Linked DNA regions of Rattus norvegicus. The protein of the gene in region 1 interacts with the protein of each later gene in a pairwise test. Links are inferred from orthologs where the notes say so. Each region holds a gene or a part of one and is shown in the gene's direction. Other genes may lie near its edges.

What was found.
Region 2: the proteins of Trib3 (region 1) and Atf5 interact in a two-hybrid assay, tested with the Homo sapiens proteins (2 studies listed by BioGRID and IntAct). The link is inferred for Rattus norvegicus from reciprocal best matches to the Homo sapiens genes TRIB3 and ATF5.
Region 3: the proteins of Trib3 (region 1) and Atf4 interact in binary tests that used the Homo sapiens proteins (3 or more experiments, as listed by UniProt). The link is inferred for Rattus norvegicus from reciprocal best matches to the Homo sapiens genes TRIB3 and ATF4.

The regions. Positions count from the first base shown.
Region 1 is NC_086021.1:161,267,569-161,274,188, reverse strand, and holds the end of Trib3 (tribbles homolog 3), read left to right. Parts: intron 1-2,149; coding exon 2,150-2,442; intron 2,443-3,556; coding exon 3,557-4,037; 3' UTR 4,038-4,250; downstream 4,251-6,620. UniProt on the Homo sapiens protein: Inactive protein kinase which acts as a regulator of the integrated stress response (ISR), a process for adaptation to various stress. Inhibits the transcriptional activity of DDIT3/CHOP and is involved in DDIT3/CHOP-dependent cell death during ER stress.
Region 2 is NC_086019.1:104,429,628-104,437,094, reverse strand, and holds Atf5 (cyclic AMP-dependent transcription factor ATF-5), read left to right. Parts: upstream 1-2,299; 5' UTR 2,300-2,316; coding exon 2,317-2,494; intron 2,495-3,746; coding exon 3,747-4,414; 3' UTR 4,415-4,581; downstream 4,582-7,467.
Region 3 is NC_086025.1:113,682,368-113,689,625, forward strand, and holds Atf4 (cyclic AMP-dependent transcription factor ATF-4), read left to right. Parts: upstream 1-2,313; 5' UTR 2,314-2,497; intron 2,498-3,036; 5' UTR 3,037-3,128; coding exon 3,129-3,348; intron 3,349-3,423; coding exon of another isoform or gene 3,424-3,458; coding exon 3,459-4,282; 3' UTR 4,283-4,372; downstream 4,373-7,258. UniProt on the Homo sapiens protein: Transcription factor that binds the cAMP response element (CRE) (consensus: 5'-GTGACGT[AC][AG]-3') and displays two biological functions, as regulator of metabolic and redox processes under normal cellular conditions, and as master transcription factor during integrated stress response (ISR).

The DNA.
Region 1 (6,620 bases):
GTGGAAGCGGGCAGGTCTCTGGAGCCAGATAGCTGGTCAGCCAGCTAGCCTATTCAGGGAGTTTGTTCAGAGGTCAGTGAGAGACTCTATCTCAGGTAGAGAGGAGAGAAAGAGAATGAATAAAGAGCTGGAGACATGGCTCAGTGATTAAGAGTGCTTGTAACTCTCTCGGAGACCCAAGTTCTGTTCCTGGCATCCGCTTGAGGCAGCTCGCCACTGCCTATATAATTCCAGGGCTCTGACCTCCTCAAGCATCTCACTCGTGTGCACATACTCATACACAGACAGACAGACAGTCACACACGATTAAAAATAAATCCTGGGGCTGGGGATTTAGCTCAGTGGTAGAGCGCTTACCTAGGAAGTGCAAGGCCCTGGGTTCGGTCCCCAGCTCCGAAAAAAAAAGAACCAAAAAAAAAAAAAAAATCCTAAGACAAAGATGGGATGGAATCTGAGAAATGACAACAGAGGCTTTCCTCTGCCTGCCACAAGAACACACACACACACACACACGTGCACACTTACACACACATGTGCACACACACACATGTGCACACAGCAGAAGAGCATGGGCAATGATGGAAAAGAAGCTGGTGTCAGTGGGGAGGGAGAAGCAAAGAGAGGAGGAGACACGTAGGGATGCAGGGGAGCATAAGGCAGTCTGGGAGGGCCTCGAAGATGATAAAGGGCGGCCGTGTCAGAAGTTGAAGGAGGCATGGGGAGGAGGGTCCAAAGGCAGTGTGTCCCCGCTGTGGGTATAGGAGGCACAAAGGGCCAACCACATTGATACTCACCTTTAATTGCAGCACTTGAGTGGTGTATTTTTGTAAGTTCGAGGCCAGCCTGGTCTACCTACTGAGTTTCAGGACAGCCACAGAGACACAGAGAGACCTTGTCTCAGAGAGCTCACCCCTTCTCCTGTGCAAAGGTGCCGGGACAGGACCAAGCTCTGGGGGAGAAAGAAAGGGTAGTCTGTGTATTTATTTCCTCCGTGCTACCCTAGATCTTTCTTTTAAGGTCCCATGGTTCACGTTTTACAGCACACCTGAGTTTAAAGTCAAAAGCAACAAAGTGCCACATCAACTCTGTGACACTAGCTTCTAGCAGGCATCCAGGGTGGCCTCTCACAGGCCACTTCCTTTTTCTGAACTTTGGTTTCTTTCTCCATCATAACTGGGCCCTCCTTCCAGGTGTTTGTATCCACAAACTCTGAGCTGTTCCCAGCTGCCTCATGGCCCACCCATATGACTGCCTCCCTCGTCCTCCTGGCCACCTTCGAGCTTTGCCTGCAATTTGAGAACAGGTTGATGTCTTGATTACCTCAGGGCCTTTGCACTGCTTGTGCCCCCAACACAGGGGAGCTTTTTCCTGTGGTGTCTTTGGATCATTTGGGCCACTTTTCCTAAGTCAAGTAGGTCCACATTTTTTTTTTTTCTGAATCAGAGTCTCACCTGCATAGCTCTGGCTACTTTGTAGACCAGGCTAAGCCTCAAAGTCAGAGAGCCACTGCCTCTGCTTCCTGAGTCCTGGGATTAAACTACAATGTCAGGATGGCACTTTTAAAATAGGTGCTCCCTTCTAAAATAACAACCCACACTTTCCTAGTAAAGACTAGTTTAAGTCCGAGATTGCAATATAAAATTTTCCGGGAGAGGTAAAAAAAAAAAAAATTCCGGATTCTAGCATCTTTCTTTGGAATATATGGTTATGGCTTGCTTGTGCTGCACTGTAGACACCAGGAGAACAGGAGCAATGGCTGTGAGTCTAGTCAGCGGAGCAGGGGCGGCATACAGGCTACTGAGCTGTTCTTAGACTGGATGTGTGGGAAAAGGGGGATTACAGTGGTGATCTGCCTCCAGGATCCGTTTTTTGTCTAGGTTACATCCTAGTTTCTGAGGCCTAAGTCACACCAGGTGACTTAAAGCAGAGATGGGTGCACAGGTTCTAGTCCCAAATGTGATACTTGCTGGCCTTGTGGCCCCGGGCTCTCCTGACTTGTGGTTTTGTGGAGAATCGGCTGATATTTGTCTATGAGTGATTTGCTAAGCAAGGGCCTCTGTAGGTGTAGCTCACAGAATTGGCTGTCGCCTTTTGCTGAGCCAGCCTAACTTGCTAGGTCCTTGGTGCTTACTCCTGACTCTGTTCGCAGGTGTATCCCGCCAGCGAGGCCCAGGCGGTGCTGGCACCGTATGCAAGACTGCCTACCCACCAGCACGTGGCCCGTCCCACAGAGGTCCTGCTGGGCTCTCAGCTCCTATACACCTTTTTCACGAAGACCCATGGGGACTTGCACAGTCTGGTGCGCAGCCGCCGCGGTATCCCCGAGCCCGAGGCTGCCGCGCTTTTCCGACAGATGGCTAGTGCGGTGGCACACTGCCACAAGCACGGGCTCATCTTGCGCGACCTCAAGTTGCGTCGATTTGTCTTCAGCAACTGTGAGAGGTGAGTGTGACCCCAGAGGCACACTTGAGAGGTAGGCCATGGTGGGGAAAGTGAGGTCCAGGAGAGTAGAGTAACCTAGGAAGAGCTAAGGTACAGCTCAGTGGTATACCTGTGCTTAGCATGTGGAAGGCTCTGCATTCGATCCTCAGCAGCAAAAGAAAGACAGGGAAAGAAATCCCCAGCGCTGAGTGACAGCTGTTCCGTGGAATCTGTAGCCCTACCACCTGAGCATGGGGGCAAGGGGCAGAGACAGGTGGATCCCCAGAGATCACTGGCCAGCTAGTTTATTCAATTGGTGAGCTACTGTTTCAAATTAAATAAGGACTAAAGGAATAGCTGCGGGTGGTAGCATACACCTTTAAATCCTGGCTGAGGCAGAGGTAAATGGGATCTCTGTGAACTGGAGGTCAGCTAGGTCTACAGGGTGAGTTTCAGCCCAGTCAGGGCTATGTCTCAGGCTATGAGATCCTGTCTCAGAAAAAAAAAAGTGTGCTGGGGGAGGGAAGAGTTGTAGAGATGAGTCAGTGGTTAAAGTACACATTGCAAGCAAAGGACCCATATTCAGTTCCCAGCCCACACCGTGGCTAACAATCACCTATAACTCCAAGTCCAAGGTATCTGACAAACTCTTCACAGGCACTGCATGCTCATGGTGCCAAACATACAGGCAGGGAAAACACCCATTTGCGTAAAATATAATAAAAATAAATGAAAAAAGAAAGAAGCTAAGTGGTGATGGCTCACTCAGAAGGCAGAGGCAGTCTGATCTCTGAGTTCAAGGCCAGCCTGGTCTACAGAGTTCCAGGACAGTCAGAGGTAGGTAAGACTCTGACCCTTCAAAGCCCAAACCAAACCAAACAAGCGCTCAGGAGGCAGAGACAGGAGGATAGTAATAAGCCCAGACTGGACAACGTAGTAAAATCCTTTTTCTGAGAAACAGACCCACCCCACCACTAACACCTGGCCAAAAATAAAATAAAATAAAATAAAATAAAATAAAATAAAATAAAATAAAATAAAATAAAATAAAATAAAATACAGAGTGGGGAGATGGCTTAGTGGCTGCTTTTCCAGAGGACCTGAGTAGGACCTGATCTTTCTGTCTGTGACCCAGGACGAAGTTGGTGCTGGAGAACCTGGAGGATGCCTGTGTGATGACTGGACCAGACGACTCTCTGTGGGACAAGCACGCGTGCCCTGCCTATGTGGGACCAGAGATACTCAGCTCCCGGCCATCCTACTCCGGCAGAGCGGCTGATGTCTGGAGCCTGGGCGTGGCGCTCTTCACCATGCTGGCTGGCCGATACCCGTTCCAGGACTCTGAACCAGCCCTGCTCTTTGGCAAGATCCGTAGAGGGACCTTTGCCCTGCCTGAGGGCCTATCAGCCTCTGCTCGATGCCTCATCCGCTGTCTCCTCCGCAGGGAGCCTTCAGAGCGACTTGTGGCCCTGGGAATCCTGCTACATCCCTGGTTGAGGGAGGATTGCAGCCAAGTCTCTCCTCCACGGTCTGACCGAAGGGAGATGGACCAGGTTGTCCCAGATGGGCCACAGCTGGAGGAGGCAGAGGAAGGGGAGGTGGGGCTGTATGGCTAGAGCCACCTTAACTGGCCCTTCAGCTCCAAGGTGTGAGTTGAGTACTGGTGTCTCAGCTTTCGCCTGCCTTTTTGGGCCAAGCTAAACTGTAAGTGCCTTTCTGGAGGAAGAAACAGCCATTGTGCTTCATGCATTCCTGTGCACAGTGGGGTGATGCTGTCTGGATGACAAGCCCTGTTCTAGGTGCTGTGAACAGCAAAGAAAAAAAAAAAAGAGGGAGAAGCATACCTTGCTGGCCGAGTTACCACAGTGCCACATGCTCCCAGGCCAGCATCTACCCTCTGCCCGGGGCATATTTCATACCAGGGCTGGCCTTCTCTGGTCTGGTGCTAGGCTTCTGTTCATGGGACAGTCCCTTTCATCAGTGCCCCAGCTGCCTTCTGTCTTGTGCCTTTAAACAAAGGGAACATCTCTGTGCCAAAGACCAAAGTCCCCATTCACCCTGTGCCTTGGGGCCACAAGTGAGGCCAAGCTGGGATTGTGGCCTCCAGGCAGGAGAACCTGCTTGAAGACCTGGCTGCTGGACTCAAGCCAAAAGGATGAGACTCCAATAAAGAGGCATCTGGCTCAAAGAATGGTCTAGAATGAGGATCCAGGTCTGTCTACCCTGGTAGCCTCCAGCTGGAGCATCAAAGTTGGAGGGGGAAGGACCAGGCAGGGACTGTCCTATTGCCATTTAGAGTCTCAGGCCCTGCTCTTGGGATTCTTAGTATCCAGGACTGCTGTCAGTTTGATGACTTTGGTTTGGTTGAGTATGTATTTTCACCATGTGCCCAATAAAAGAGAGCTGTGTGGTTTTACATGTGAGAGAGCTCTACCTCCTAACATCCTTGGCGACTTTCCCTGCCTTCAACACTGGCCCCACCATGAAAGCCAGGTACAGCCCAGCCCCTACCAAGTGGCTTGTGAGAGAATTCTCCTACTGATCTCCCTGTACACACCTTTTCTTCTAGAGACCTTGGGTCTCAGGTGGGGAACTTTCTTTTTTTTTCTTTTTTTTTCCGGAGCTGGGGACCGAACCCAGGGCCTTGCGGTCGCTAGGCAAGCGCTCTACCGCTGAACTAAATCCCCAACCCCAGAGGGGAACTTTCTAAGCTGAGGGCTGGGGTTCAGCTCAGGTGTAAGCACATCTAACACACTCAGGATTATGGGGCTCCATCCTCGGCCCAAAGGGGCACCAGTTTAAACCGGAAGGAACACACTTTGCATAAAGACAGGTCAGTGAACAGGATAGTTTCAGGGCAGGTCAGTCTGGCTCTCCAGGCTGTTGTCAGAATGCCTGCTTTCTTGACTCCTTCAGTTCTTGCTGGTTTCCATGGAGGCAGCTGGCACTTATGTCACACTGCACAAAGAGAAGTGGCACTGCCACACTTATGAACACTTGAGAGTCAGGCTGCCCCACGTGCAGTCTGTCCACAACACACCAGTTGTTGGATGGACCCTCAGCAAGTTCTTTTTTTTTTTTTTTTGGTTCTTTTTTTCGGAGCTGGGGACCGAACCCAGGGCCTTGCGCTTCCTAGGCAAGCGCTCTACCACTGAGCTAAATCCCCAACCCCCCTCAGCAAGTTCTTTACCATTGTATATACCTCAGGTTCTTCATCTGGAAAAGCAGAGAATAGGATCCAACCTACGAGACAACTATGGGCTCTTTTTTTCTTTTCCATATCGTGTGTGTGTGTGTGTGTGTGTGTGTGTGTGTGTGTGTGTGTGTATGTGCACACACGTGAGCACATGCACGCGTATGAGGGTGCACAGAGGCTGGAGGTAGATAAATTGGATTGTCCTTAATTACTCTTCCTCCTCCACCTTATTCCTTGAAGAGGGTCTCTCTCTCCTCTCTTTCCCTCCCTCCCTCCCTCCTTCCCTCTTTCTCTTTCCAAGACAGGGTTTCTCTGTGTAGTCTCTACTGCCCTGGAACTTGCTCTGTAAACCAGGCTGGCTTCAAACTCAGAGATCCGCCTGTGTCTGTCTCCTCAGTGTTGGGACTAAAGGCAAGTGCCACCACTGCCTGACTGAGAAGGGTCTCTCAGTCAAACCCTGGTCTCCCTGATATAGCGAGTCTTGTCCGTCAGCCTGCTGCTCTGGGGATCCCGTCTCTCACTTCCAAGGCATTTATGTAGGTTCTGGGATCTGAATGCGGGTCCTCACATGTTTACATGTGCTTTAAACCCTGAGCCATCTTCCCAGCACCAAAAGACCGTTCAGAGCAAGCAGGACCTGGCATCATCACCTTGCAGGAAAGCATTAGTTGCTGTTTCCACTGCTCTTTTTTTTTTTCCCCCCTTTTTTTCAGAGCTGGGGACAGAACCCAGGGCCTTGCGCTTGCTAGGCAAGTGCTCTACCACTGAGCTAAATCCCCAACCCCGCCACTGCTCTTTCTTGAGAAGCTTCTAGAAAGTCTACCTAATCATTCCCCACACTCCCAAAATGGTCCTATGGCTTCTCCCTGGCAATTACCCCAAGGAAGTATGTAGGCGGAAATGTTCTGTGGCCTACACCTTATAGAGGCTCTGTCCAGTTGCTGATCAATCCTGCAGCATCCTTTGGAGACTCAGCCATCATGCCACATGGTGGTCTCTGGGT
Region 2 (7,467 bases), on another chromosome or scaffold:
TGGGGGACAGACAGGATCAAGAAACAATTTATCTAGTGGGGTCAGCAAGAGAGCAAGGACTGCAAGGAAGTCAGAGCAAGGGGCAAAACCTAAGAGGGTGGCATGATGAGCACAGCATGTAGCAAGTAGGGATGGCTGGAAACAGAAACCTTGGAGGTGGGACACACAGAATGATCATATGGATATGTTGGCTGGCTAAGAATCGGGGGTAGGGAGATAAAAAGGGGTGAAATCAGGCCCCCTCCCAGGGGTGGGGGCTTAATCTAAAAGAAAATAAAACGATTTTAGTAGTAGATGAAATGACTCAGTGGAGAAAGGCTGCCAAACAATCTGACCTGAGTTCCATCCCTGGGACCCTACTATATAGTAGGAGAACCAACTCCTGCTAGCTCTTCTTTGACCACCACATACATACACAATAAACGTTAAAACAAACAAGAAGGTTTAAGAGTCCTGATTAGGACTCCGTGGCCTACTTTCCATAGCTGGTATATTTGTGCGTATATCTATAAACAGCGACATCTCGCTGTTGCTCCCTTGAACTCGTCTATGAAGCCTAAGCTAGCTTGAACTCGCCATTCCGCGATGAGCTTAACCCACGAGGTCTCTCGGAGCGACATCGGTTTTAGGGACTGGTGGCAAATTTGTGAAGCAGGGATAGATAACGGGATGAGCTGGTTACGGGTGTAAGAGAGATCGAATAGGATCCAACCGATACAGGAAACAGAGTCCGGGCCCCCAGCCTGAAGCAGTGAGTGAAGGGTCAGGGCGACATGGCGGGCCCGGGGTCGCCACCGCCCCGTCGGGGCCCCGCGAGGGCGGAGCGCGGAGGGATCCAGGCATCCCGCGCTGCGCCGCCCCCGGTATATTTGTTCCCAGGCCCCGGGGCCGCCTCATTTTCAACCCTCTCAGCAGTCTCCCTTAACGCTCCTGCCACGCCGCCTCCGCCCGTGCAATGGCTCTGTAGCCGCGATCTCGTCGTGTCCCCCGCCCCGTTTCCGCGCTCACCGCGACTTCACTCTCTGCTCACACCGACTCTTCAACTGAGGCCGCCGCCGCCGTTGCCTCCTCTCCTTTTCGCAGCCATGGAGTGAGTAACCGCTCGCCCCTCCCTCTCCAACCGCCTTTCCCGCCCTTTCACAGAGCTCGCGGGGCTTCACGGGTCAGCCTCGTGGGGAGGGGGTGGGGAAGACGATATGAGGAACCACGGTCGCGCAGGCGCAGAAGAGGGAAGTCGGTGGCCGGCGCATCCGCTGAGCAAGCGCACTAGGCTCCAGGCGTGGGGGAGGGTGTGCTTCCGCAGAGTCTGGGGGCTTTTAAGGTCGGTTCGCGCGCCATTGCGCCTGCGCACTAATTCACAGACCCTCTTCCTCCTTTCCCCTCAGAGGATACGAACCCACACTCTATTGCGCATGCGCATTACCTTATTCCCGGCCTGAACTACGGAGGGCGGCCGGTAATTGGCTAAACACACGCACTGGTCCCCCCAGGAGGGTAGTGGCGTAACAATGAATCCGGTCCAGGGTCTGAGCTTTCGTCTTGCGGCTTAGCGAGCAATCAGCGAGGAAGGGTGGAGTTCCTCGAGGCTCTGACACTGGTCCAACTTCCCTCCAATCAGGCACCTGCTGGGGCGGGGACTGGCTTAGATTGACAGGGAAGGCTAAAGAACACCTTTAAGAAAGACTTGGAGCTAGAACCAAGGGGCGGGGCCTCTAGGGACTTGCTAGTTGGGGGCGGGAACTGACTTGACAGACAGGAGTGTGGGCGGGGCTTCCCGTAGAATCTGTAGAAGTCACCTAAAACTTTTAAGGGAAGAGTGGGATTTGTGTGTGTAACACTGATGAAGGGCCCAAGGCATGGCAGAATTATTCTGGGAACCCCTGTGAACTCTAAAGGGCGTATAGTCTAAAGAAAATATTGATGCGGAAGGGGCACGGCTAGAAGAAAATAAAATTACCTTGGGATTGAATTTTTTTACGAAGAGCAATAAGATGAGGTAGGTAGGAGGGGCTGGAAGTAATTCCCCTGGGAGAACACTAGGTTTCTGTGTTGAGGGAGGAGATGGGGCTGGGGAGTTTCCAAAAGTTGCCTTGGGAATGTATGGAGCTCTGGAATTTGCAGAAAGAAGAAAAGTGTGGGTAGCTTGTGGGTCAAGCAGCTTTGACTCAACCCCACCCACGCCACCTTGTCTTCCTCACAGGCCCTCCACCTTCGCCTTGGTGCCTGTCTTCACCCAGCTGAACAATCTTCCACGCTGCCTCCCAGTTGTTGGTGCAGCCTCCATTGCCATCGCAGCCCTGCACCTGTGCCTCAGCCATGTCACTCCTGGCGACCCTGGGACTGGAGCTGGACAGGGCCCTGCTCCCAGCTAGCGGGCTGGGCTGGCTCGTAGACTATGGGAAACTCCCCCTGGCCCCTGCCCCCCTGGGCCCCTATGAGGTCCTTGGGGGTGCCCTGGAGGGCGGGCTTCCAGGGGGGGGAGAGCCCCTGGCAGGTAAGAAACAGGTGAAAAAGAGAGGTGGGTTAAGGTGGCGGGGTGTGGAAGGACAGAAAAGGAAGGATTTATTCATTCACAAGATCAGTACAGAGGGCCTGCAGTGTGCCCAGCCCTGTTCTTCATGTGCAAGGTGCAGAGCAAGGGATACCAAAGCTCGTGGAAGCATCAGGAGACAGAGGTGGGAAGCCAAAGCTTAGCTGAAAGGAAGACATGGTTGAGAAGTCAGCCTTCTCTAAGTAGACAACCTCTGGATTGAGGGCTAAGGGATGGGCAAAGGGAGCCATGATAAGTCCTGAGGGGAGCGCTATCTCAGAGATTCTGAGGCAGGCAGTCAACAGATGGTTGTCCTAGACTGTGCCTGGTGGCTTATGTCCATAACTTCCCCTGTTAGAGGCTTCTCATCCTCTTGAGCCCAGGCCAACCTAGGCAGCCTGGTAAGAACATAGTTGTCAAACATCTGAGAAACACAAAAGGAGAGCAAATAAAGATGGAGAGAGTCACGCCCACACACGCAAACACACAGAGGGGGGAGGGAGGAGAGAAAGTGTGTGAGTATAATCCCAGCACTCTGGGAGAGAGTCAGAAGTTTAAGGGTTGTCCTCAGCTACAGACTACAGAACAGGTCCAAGGCTATCCTAGTCTACACAAGACTCTGTCGACAATAGATAAGTAAACAAGTGAGGGAAAGAGAGGAGACACTAGTGTGGGGTGCAGTCGACCAACCTGGTCAAGGAGAAGGATTATAGAGATGGGAGCTGACCTTCGTCGGGTGGGCCATTAGTTGGGCGAGTGCTTCACTGAGTGGCTGACTGATTATTTCATCGGTTAGTTGGTCAATTAATCGGTTGGTTGACTGATTTGAATCATTGGTTGGCTTGTTCATTGATTGGCTAATGAGTTGATTAGTTTATTAGCAGGTGGCCTGGTGAACTGATTGGATGATTGGCTGGCTGTCTTGTTCATTGATTAATGATTTGTTGGGTGGTTGGCTGATGAACTAGGTATGATTGGCTGGCTGGCTGGCTGGTTGGTTAGTTCATTAGTTAGTGGCTTGATGGGTAAACTAGCTAGCTGGTTGGTTGATTGGTTGATTAGTTTCTTCCCTAACTCACTGGTTGCTGACAGGTCTATAGATTGGATGGTTGGCTGGCTGGTCACTTGTCACATTGAGTGAATGGGGCATGAATGAACACCAAGTGGATAAAGCACAGACCTTAGAGATTTTTATGTCCTCCCCCCACATCCTCAGGTGACGGCTTCTCTGATTGGATGACCGAGCGGGTGGACTTCACAGCCCTCCTTCCTCTGGAGGCCCCTCTGCCCCCAGGCACTCTCCCCCCACCCTCCCCTGCCCCCCCTGACCTGGAAGCCATGGCATCCCTACTCAAGAAGGAGCTAGAACAGATGGAAGACTTCTTCCTTGATGCCCCACTCCTTCCACCGCCCTCCCCACCTCCACCCCCACCCCCAGCACCCTCTCTGCCCCTGCCCTTACCCTTGCCCACCTTTGATCTCCCGCAGCCTCCTACCCTGGATACCCTGGACTTGCTAGCTGTTTACTGCCGCAGTGAGGCTGGGCCAGGGGATTCAGGCTTGACAACCCTGCCTGTCCCCCAGCAGCCTCCTCCTCTGGCCCCTCTGCCTTCACCCTCCCGACCAGCCCCCTATCCTAGTCCTGCCAGCACCCGAGGGGACCGCAAGCAAAAGAAGAGAGACCAGAATAAGTCAGCTGCTCTCAGGTACCGCCAGAGGAAGCGGGCAGAGGGCGAGGCCCTGGAGGGCGAGTGCCAAGGGCTAGAGGCGCGGAATCGGGAGCTGAGGGAGAGGGCAGAGTCAGTGGAACGGGAGATCCAGTATGTGAAGGATCTGCTAATTGAGGTGTATAAGGCACGAAGCCAGAGGACCCGCAGTGCCTAGGGTACAGGAGGAGGCAGTTCTGGTGTACCTGTGCCTCCAGCTTCACCCTGTCCCTCCATTTCACTTCCCTGTGCATCCGTGTCTAGGTCTCCCCTCTGCCTATCCCCATTATGGGTTATTTGGCATAGTCAGTTTCTGTACCCCTTCAGTGCAACTGAGAAACCAAGGCCCTCAGGGAATCAGAGGAGCCAGCCTGATCCCTGGTCTCTGGAGTCTTAAAACAAGTGTGTTTTTGCAGGTAGTCCTAGTTGGGTGTCGGGGGGAGGCTGCCAGGCCTGGCATGGACATTAGGCAGGAAGCCACTCTGGATGATTGTGCACATGAGAACCTAGTCAGGGAGGGAGGGTTTTAAGGAGAGGACTTAGAATACAAGTGAGAAGCCAGCCGAGGAAAGGGAACCAAGTCCTCAGAATAGAAGGCTATACTGGCCTAGGGACAGGAAGGGGTGGCTGTAGTTGGTAACTAGGGTGTCATTTTAGCTCTGTGAGAGAATCAGTGTTTTGTGAAGGTGTGGGGGAAGGGTTGCATCTGGTGGGGGCTGATCCTCCAGGGGTTGTGGGCTCAAATAAAATGCAGACTTTCCTGTGGCCTGTGTGTCTGTCTTTGAGAGGGGACTGGGGAGACTGAGTCTGGGGGTAGTCATAAAGACAACGGAGAATAAACCAAAGGGCTGGGGCTGAAGCCCTACAGTACCCGTGTGCCTAGCACAAGAGAAAGAAGTTGGGTGTGGTGGCTCATGACTGCAGGCTCAGCATTTGAGGGGCTGAGGAGGAAGGATTGCTCTAAGTGTGAGGCCAGCCTGGGCTACAGAGTGAGGCCATCTCAAACAAAACAATGAAGCCAAACAAAAGGTAACTAGTAACATTTGTTCATTGTCAAGTACACCCACTTGGCAAGAATATGCCATGTGACCAGCCTATCAGTAAAGACAGGGCCATGATGACACCGAGGCTAGTTACAGTTACATTGGCAGCAGAGGACAAACCAAGGGTAATATGGCATATATAGGCAAAGGAGAGTACCATCAAACACAGCTGGATCATTCCAGTCATGGGCAGAGAGGCCTGCAGAGACAGCTCCATTGGCAAAATGCTTGCCCAGCAAGCATAGGACCTGACTTCAATCAAGGATAGGTCCTGCATAAAAGCTATCAGCTGAGTGCACACTGCTTTCACAGAAGACCTGAGTTTGATCTTCAGTAGCCATGCTGGGTAGTTTATGGCCTTGGACCAACCAGTCTGGAGGGACAAAGACTGCTAGTCAGTGAAGTCACAATCTAAGCACATTTTGAGAAGACTCAGAAGAAAGACGTGTCCTAACCAGGACTGCCCTGAGGAAGTTGATTGATATTAGATTCTGCACAGAATACTATTAGTCCAAGAAACAAAAGTTCCTGAGAGTGGGTGCCCCAAAGCAAGCTCTGACCTTAGCTCCTAACTGTGGGAAGGAGCCTGTCTTTAGGGTAAGCACCTGTTTGCTTGAGGGATCACTGTTGCCATAGTAACTGGCCAGCCAAGAGGTACATTTGAGTGTGTTTTATAGTGATCATGTTGAGCCGCGTAACATCTCTTGATGTTAAGGAAATGCAGACTGAGTTACGGGGTTACCCACAGGAACACTTGAATCTGTGAAGCAGGTCTCCAGTAATCCCCTGAAGATAGGGCTATGGATCGTGGCTGCCAGTGGTTCGCCTATGGAGTCAGCATGGCTATAGGAGACTCCAGCACTCTCACTGGAGTGACCAGGTCCCCTGCACCCTGACCTTGCACCCTACTCTGGTTCTGCCCTGAGCTTTCCCATCGTGACAAGTGAGATCCACTAGAACAACTGAGTGAACCCCCAGCACGGCCTGGTAAAGTCCTGTGTGGCAGGTGTCCAAGAGAGTCTGGGTCCAGCCTTCAGCAGATGGCCATGATTTACAGGATGCTCGGTACTGTGCATAGAGGAGCAGGAGGAATGGTCAGGGATCCCGGAAGTGTGAGGAACACCAGCAGGCCAGCGTGGAGCAAATCCCTGGTAAGGCTCATGGCTTGGGTGACCTTAGCCCAGGAATGTGGAGAGTGAGCTTGGCCTGGGGATAATTCTGGCAACCAGGTTTAGGATTGTATCCATGTGCTCCCAAAGCAGCCTCAGGAGGGCTGGCCATGTGGCTCAGTGGTGGAAGGCCCAAGCAGGCACATGGCCCTGGGTTCTGCCCCTAGCCCTGCACACAGGCCTGATAGCATCTGTCATCCCAGCACTCAGGACGTGGATGCAGGAGGATCAGAGGCCAAAGTTTATCTTCAGTTGTAAATTAAATTTGAGGCCATCTTGGACAGCATATGACCTTTCAAAAAAACCAAAGACTCTTAGATCATCACAGGTCTCTGATTCGTCCTCAGTGAGTGACTTGCGTGGCTGTGGTAGGTAGTGGGCTCCTTACCCAGTGTGTCAGCTCTAGGAGGACATAAGAAGAGGCCACCCCCAGAGGGGGTCCTTGTATGAACCTCTGAAACAGACTCCACCACCTTGGCCTGCTCAAGTACCAAGGAGCAGAGGCCCCTCCTTGTCCTCTGATAGCTGCTTATGGTGAGCACAGAATGCTGGTTAACTCTATTGCATAGCTTCCCTCTCAGAGGTCAGATAATACTGTCTGATGTCCTTCTCTGGCTGGCTGAGATACCCAGGGAGCAGTTGTTAGCCTTGAGGTCCCTGAGGAAGCAGGAATGGAGTTTTGTTTGTTTGTTAAAGCTACAAACACCATGACCATGTGAAAGTTGGGGAAGGAAAGGTTTATTTGTCTTACACTTCTACATCACTGTCCATCAGTGAAAAAAATCAGGGCAGGAACTCAAACATGGCAGGTACGTGGAGGCAGGAGCTGATGGAGAGGCCATGGAGGGGTGCTGCTTATTGGTTTGCTCCTCATTGTTTGTTCAGCCTGCTCTCTTATAGAACCCAAGACCACCAGCCAGGGATGGCTCCACCCACAATGAGCCGGGCCCTCCCACATCAATCACTAAGAAAATGCCCTACAGGCATTTGTGTCAAATTGCGTTTGTGTCTAGGTGACA
Region 3 (7,258 bases), on another chromosome or scaffold:
CATGTAGGAGCAGCTTAGCTCTAAGGCCCAGAGAACCTTTATTCCTTTTTGCTCCTTGAAGGAGAGGAATTGAACTGGTGAAAACAGCGTCTTCTGCAGCATGGGAAGAAGAAAATAAAAATCTCCTTTCCAACAACTCTGACTTGTGTATGTAGTATCAGGTATTTTCTTACATGGTGCTAGGATTAGGATGGGGGGAAAGAAGCCACCAGACATTCTCCTATGATCTCTATAATGTCAAATCAGGGTCAATGGTTTTAAACCTCTGTATGACCAACCTGTATGTTCAGGAGCCTTTGGTTAGAGCTGAGAAAAAAAAACATTTCCTTGACTGTTTGGTTAAGCAAACTTTATTTAGACTGGCCAGCCAAGCAGCCCCTCACTGGTGTTGGAGGTCCCTTTTATGGGAAAACATTAGGGTTGATAGAAAACAGCTGTTGGGATAATTGGCTGTTAGCACCTGAACAGAAGAGTGGGGGACTCAAGACTGCCTGTGGGGTAGAAGCATGTGATAGGAAACAGCTGTCAGGATAATTAGCTGTTAGAAAGGCGGCCATAAAAAGAAGTGCAAGCTTGTGCCATGTGGAAGGTTTCTGGGGAGACACAGTTTTGTATAGCAAGAGGCAGTCATGTATCACAGGTTCAGGAGTTTAGCAAATACATCACGGGGTTACAAATTCAGCATAAGTTAAAAAACATTTGTAGGATACATTACACTTAGGGGACAGAAACATGTAAGGGATGTCTACTTAACAATATAACTGTGGCTCCTGTTTCTGTTTCCAGAGCAAAGGGAGGACATAGTTATCCTTTGCATGGAGAGACTAGGAAACTTCTGTTTGTGTGCACATGTACTCATGACTTCTTTGTCGATAGAAACATCTCATTATGTAGGCCTTGTGCGTTATTTATTTAGTTGCTTTAGTCTCAGTAAATAATAATGAAAGGTCCTCTGAGGAAGGAAGATGAATCATGGAGTTAGGGAGAGAGGGACTTGGGAATTAGGTTTGAATTAATAAATAGCAATCAATAACCATGTAATCAAGGATGACCTTGAACCATGGTGCCCGAGTGCTAGGATTGTGTGTACTGGAGTACTTGGCTTGCAAATAATTACTGAGCAGTAAGGGGCGGGCACTGTGCCAATTGAGTGGTATTTGTATGAGTCACTTAAAAAGACGTGGAAACTCAAAAGATTGCAGGCTGGAGTTGGGAAGAGGGCCTCTCAGCACTTCCAAAACAGCATCCTTTATGGTGAGTTGTCCTTGACCAGTACTTGGGGCTTCCAACCACTTAAGCAGCTGCTCACTCACCAGGATGACTTCTTGGTAAGGCTATACCAGGAAGTTAAGACTTGGGAGTTAATCAGAACTACTCTAGGGCTTGAGATCCAACTGAATAAAACACAATATTAAGGGAACTGACCCTATACAAACCAGCAGTGATGGGCATATTTTAGAGTAGGTTAGATCTAAGGTTAGGTATATTTTCCCAGTACAGGATTCAGAGGAAAGATGCAGGGCTGGAGGAACCGGAGTATCTCCCAATAAGGCCCCAACATGAACGCCCTGTCTCAAAGTGCGGTCCCTGGACTGACAGGATTGGACCAGGTAACTCCAGAGGACCTTTCTATATGCCTAAAGCTCTGCCCATTTGGTTCTGAGAACAACAAATACAGGGAAAGAGGGCTTTCAGCCCAAGTGTCACTCCTGGAAAGCTGTTTGCTCCGTGCTGGACCAAAGCTGCCCGGGAGCGATGCCGGAGAGAGCAACTACATTGGGGTGACCTCTGATGAGTCGGTAGCTGTAAGAGTCTGGTACCCGGAACCTCTGGTGGCTCTTCCCGATATTAGTGCTCCTAGGGCGCCCAGGTTCAGAGCCAATAGAAACTTAAGGTTTAGATGACTCGTCACGCCTGGGCCAATCAGCTCGACGCGCGCTCCTACGGCGTCTCGCGTGATAACCAGGCAGCTTTGGCTTTGACCGTCATAGCTTTGGTTAGGTGTCTCTCCACGCCCTGTAAGACACCGGAAGTTCCGTAACGAGCGATCCCTCCGCACTCCGGAACGTGACTTCAGTTGGTCGCAAACCTATAAAGTAGTGCACTTTTCTTCCTTCATGGGGCCTTCAGGATACTCTGTAACGCCCCAGTTACTCCCCGAGCACAGCGGAGAAGGGTTTGGACGGGCCAGAGCGTCAATGGGATAGGGTTAGGTGGAGCGGCGGCGGGATCACGTGACCACGGTGGGAGGATACGGGGTGTACTGCGTCCCTCACCGATTCTATAAAAGGCGGGTTTAGGGCGTGTCGCCGCCATTTCTGCTTGCTCTGTGGTAGATGTCTCTCTGTACGCTGTTCCTTTCCTCTTCCCCTCCCGCAGGGCTTGCGGCCACCATGGCGTATTAGAGGCAGCAGAGCCTGCGGCAGCGTTGGCCTTTGCAGCGGCGGCAGCAGCACCAGGCTCTGCAGCGGCAACCCCCACCGGCTTAAGCCATGGCGTGAGTATTGGGCCGACTGCGCGGGCGTGTGCTTTGCTGTGTTTGGGTGCGGCCTGGGCGCGTTGACCAGCATACGCGGCTTTACAAGCGGCCAGACGCGTCGGCCTTGTTTGGGTGGCCCCGCAACGCCGGCGCACACGGGGAGGGTTGGGCAGGCGGCGTGGAGGGAGTAGTGCCTAAAACCCTGCTACTTCCTCTTCGTCCTCTCTTAACTTAGTCGTCTCGCGCCCCCCCGGGTTCCCGGTGTCATTCTGCGAACGTGGCGAGGCCAAGATGGCGGTGGGGCGGGGGGGGGGTGTGAGTCACGGGGGCGGGGCGCGACGGCCTTGGCCGTATTAGGACTTGAGGACAAGCTGCTTCCTCCGGGTGGCCGGTGAAGCAAAGCTAAGCCTCCATCTTGTGCAACCCGAGCTGGCGGCTGGGGAAGCTTACACAATGGCCTTGAGCCCACGTGCTCTCCATTTAGAAGCTTTTGGGATTTTGTCATCCAGCATCCTAGATAGAAAGATGATTGAACTTGCTTTTGGATCCTTATGCAGGCTCTTCACGAAACCCAGCAGCAGCGTTGCTGTAACGGACAAAGATACCTTCGAGTTAAGCACATTCCTCGATACCAGCAAATCCCTACAACATGACCGAGATGAGCTTCCTGAACAGCGAAGTGTTGGCGGGGGACTTAATGTCCCCCTTCGACCAGTCGGGTTTGGGGGCTGAAGAAAGCCTAGGTCTCTTAGATGACTATCTGGAGGTGGCCAAGCACTTCAAACCTCATGGGTTCTCCAGCGACAAGGCGGGCTCCTCAGAATGGCTGGCTATGGATGGGTTGGTCAGTGCCTCAGACACCGGCAAGGGTGAGTAGGGAGGACACCTGCACCAGTGTGCTCTTTTCATGTGGGTTTGGTGTTCTAAAGGTTTTCTGCCTCTAGTATGAACCGTTCTCTCCTGAAATTTTTTTCCCCAGAGGATGCCTTTTCCGGGACAGATTGGATGTTGGAGAAAATGGACCTGAAAGAGTTTGACTTCGATGCTCTGTTTCGAATGGATGACCTGGAAACCATGCCAGATGAGCTTTTGGCCACGTTGGATGACACATGTGATCTTTTTGCCCCTCTAGTCCAAGAGACTAATAAGGAGCCCCCTCAGACAGTGAACCCAATTGGCCATCTCCCAGAAAGTGTAATAAAAGTCGACCAGGCTGCCCCCTTTACATTCTTGCAGCCTCTTCCCTGTTCCCCAGGGTTTCTGTCTTCCACTCCAGATCATTCCTTTAGTTTAGAGCTGGGAAGTGAGGTTGATATCTCTGAAGGAGATAGGAAGCCTGACTCTGCTGCTTATATTACTCTAACCCCTCAGTGTGTAAAGGAGGAAGACACTCCCTCTGATAGTGACAGTGGCATCTGTATGAGCCCTGAGTCCTACCTGGGCTCTCCCCAACACAGCCCTTCCACCTCCAGGGCCCCACCAGACAGTCTGCCTTCTCCAGGTGTTCCTCGTGGTTCTCGACCCAAACCTTATGACCCACCTGGAGTTAGTGTGACAGCTAAAGTGAAGACTGAAAAGTTGGATAAGAAGCTGAAAAAGATGGAGCAAAACAAGACAGCAGCTACTAGGTACCGCCAGAAGAAGAGGGCTGAGCAGGAAGCCCTCACTGGCGAGTGTAAAGAGCTAGAAAAGAAGAACGAGGCTCTGAAAGAGAAGGCAGATTCTCTCGCCAAAGAGATTCAGTATCTAAAAGACCTGATAGAAGAGGTCCGTAAGGCAAGGGGGAAGAAGAGAGTTCCTTAATAGGGTAGTCAGGTGCTTTGTGCTTGTACATAGTCTTGTGATGCTGTGTTTGCTGTAATAAATTATTTTGTAGTGAAAGTAGCCATGGAAGTTTTCTGTGTCATTCTTTCTAATAGACTGCACAAGGTCTGGGTTGAATACGATAGCTACCTGGATGAGTTGAGCTGTTCAGGTAGTGAGACAGGTAAAGACTAGCTGGAGGGAGGGGGCTCTGGGTTAGTGAGGGCCAGCCCAGAATTGCACCTGTTCATACTGGCCTTGTGCCAGATACCTGCTGTGTAAGTACCTAGATAAGGTACAGTCCTTGAACACAAAGAGGATTAGGTTTCTCTTAGGCTTAAGGGATACAGCTACTATTTCCTGTGACAGGTGGCAAGCCCCACTCCAACCCTTCAGTTTGTTACTACAGATCCTCCCAAGGCGAGGTAAAAAGCCTACCATCACCCTCAACATTATTCCATTTGGCCCAGGGGCAGCTTAATCCAGCACAAGGATATGGTGGGGGGAGGAAGGGCCTGAGTGACAGCGGGGCAGAAACTGGTGGAGGCCCTTGGAGACAATGACTAACCTTCACTTGGCAGATGTTCTTTGTGCGTGAGAACTACAGCTGTTCCACTTCTATGTAATGTCACATGTCCACCCTGGCAATGCTCTAAACAGGGTTTCCCATAGCCCAGGTTGACCTTGAACTTGATATGTGGCCAGGGATGACCTTGAACCTTCCAAGTGCTGGGGTTATAGACCGTGTGTCACCACACCTGATCTGTTAGGTGCACCCTGAGGTAAAAGACCCAAAGAGTCAGCTAAGATCTAGCCACCCTCACCATGGTGACTTACAGCCCTTGCCAGGTATTGACAAAAGACTGGAAGTACTGTTTAGCCAGCTCAGACTGGAGCTGTTCTGGGTGCCCATTAGTTGGCAGAGAATGGCCTTCAGTTTTCCTATCACTGGTGATTGCTCAGCATGCACTACAAACTATCAGGGATGCCAACTGAACACAAGATGAACAGCTCAGCTTTTGTGAAACTTGCCTTCTAAGACAGAGGTCCAACGAAGGGCTGGCAGGCTGGGTGGAGGACCTGATCTAGGAGGAGTGTGCTGGGGGCAGGGAACAAGGTGGGGCCCGGGTGTGGGTAGGATGATACAGCAGCAGCCCCACTTCTGCGGCAGGCTTTTGGCTCACCCTTGTTGGCGAGCAGAAGCTAGGCTGTGTTGGCCAGTGAGGTGGATGTAGAAGACCCAAGTAAGGAGTCTTCTACTGCAGCGAGACCCATGCTGAGCACCTACTCAGGCAGTCGACAGGATGGACTGGGGATCTTTGCCATGGTGGACGGCAGGTAAATGCTAAAACCAGCATAGAAATAGACCAGCTCAGGTTGGGGGAATTGCAGACTGCTGGCCTTTAAGAAGGGGATTGTGTATAGAGGGTGAATACCAGCTCATCTATTTAGAACCTGACCAGCTTCAGTTCACCTTGACCTAAGCTCTCCCTACCCCACAAGCAAGACCACTCTAGGCAAGTCTGGTGTCCTGGTGGCTGGCCCTGAGTCCCCAAGACCACCAGTGGCAGTCCTGCTCCACTCTATACAGCTCTCTTGACTCACAGAGGACAGGCAGTTGTGGATGATCCAGTCTATAGCAGAAGCCACAGGAAGCATGGGGGTGGGGCAGCAGCTCTCCAAGTCCAGATCATCAAATTTTTTAACTGGCCTAAATGTTTGATCTTTGCATCTATTTGGGACCTTAGTTGGGGTAGGCTTTCCTTTGCTAGACCCCCATTGAGCTGAATACAACAGGTGTTCTTATATCAGGCCACTGGTTGGCAAGGCTTGGGATAATGATCTGCACTCCATCTTCCTTCTCAGCAGCCAAGAGGAGGCCTTATACAAGGGAAGGTACAGGATCTCTGCTTGCATCCTCTAGGTGACCATGTGGCCAAAGGTGTATGCTCTCTAGAAGGGGGCCTTAGAGAATAAGCATTGAGCAGTTTGGTAAGCATCTTATTTGAGGAGGAGGATATAAGTCTCCAAGGCCACTTGAATCTGCTGCTCTGAAGGTCAGCAAAACCCAGCAAGCAGGCAGATGGGGTGGAGGATTTATAGACCAGCACCCATGTCCCTTTGAACAACCCACGTCAGAGGACAGCCCATTGCCACGGAGGGCCCAGTGCTCCCATCACTAGCCCATATTAAATCACACTACCTCCCTCCTGAGTTCTGCTTGCTGTGACCTTCTGGAAGGGTGGACGGTCATGCCTCCCAACAGGCAGAGGTCACCTGGAGGCAGATTCCATGCTAATTCCACTCTGCTGTAGGTAGTTATGTGTCCCCATTTGAGATCTAACGCTGTTTAAAGGCAAAGAATTGCCTGGAGCAGGGACAGTGAACCCTGTTCTGAGGACAAACCCCACCGGACCAAGAATGGAGGAGGCAGGCTCAGGGGAGAAGGCAGGTGTGTGTGTGTGTGAATTCTCCTTAGGAGTGCACCCGTCTGCACTGACGTGTCTCCTGGTCCCTGTGACAGGCGTGTGCTGTTTGTCCCCAGCGTGCTCATTCCACATGATCTTTCTTTTGCCACCTGTGTTTGGCACTGTGTTGCTGGAAAGAGTCCAGTTTGCCCTCTGTGGTGGCGCAACCAGTTTTCCCTGCTGTCCTTGGTTGAGGTACAGACTTAATGTAAACCTGCTTGCTGAGGACTCCTAAAACCATGGCCTACGTCCCGTACCAAATGGCATAAGACTTTGCTCTCTCTACTGGTGCCACGCAGACCAGCAGGGTCCTTTGTGTCACTCCCTGGGCAACTCTAGCAGCTGTAGCGACCATACCCAGAGAGGAGGCCCTAAGTGGTAGAAGGAAAGCATTTATACTAGGCTGAGCCTGGGGACTTTGACAGAGACAACCTAGATCCACACTGAGATGGGAGACTCACTGTAAGTCATATCAACACACATGCGCACACGCATATAAACGCAGACT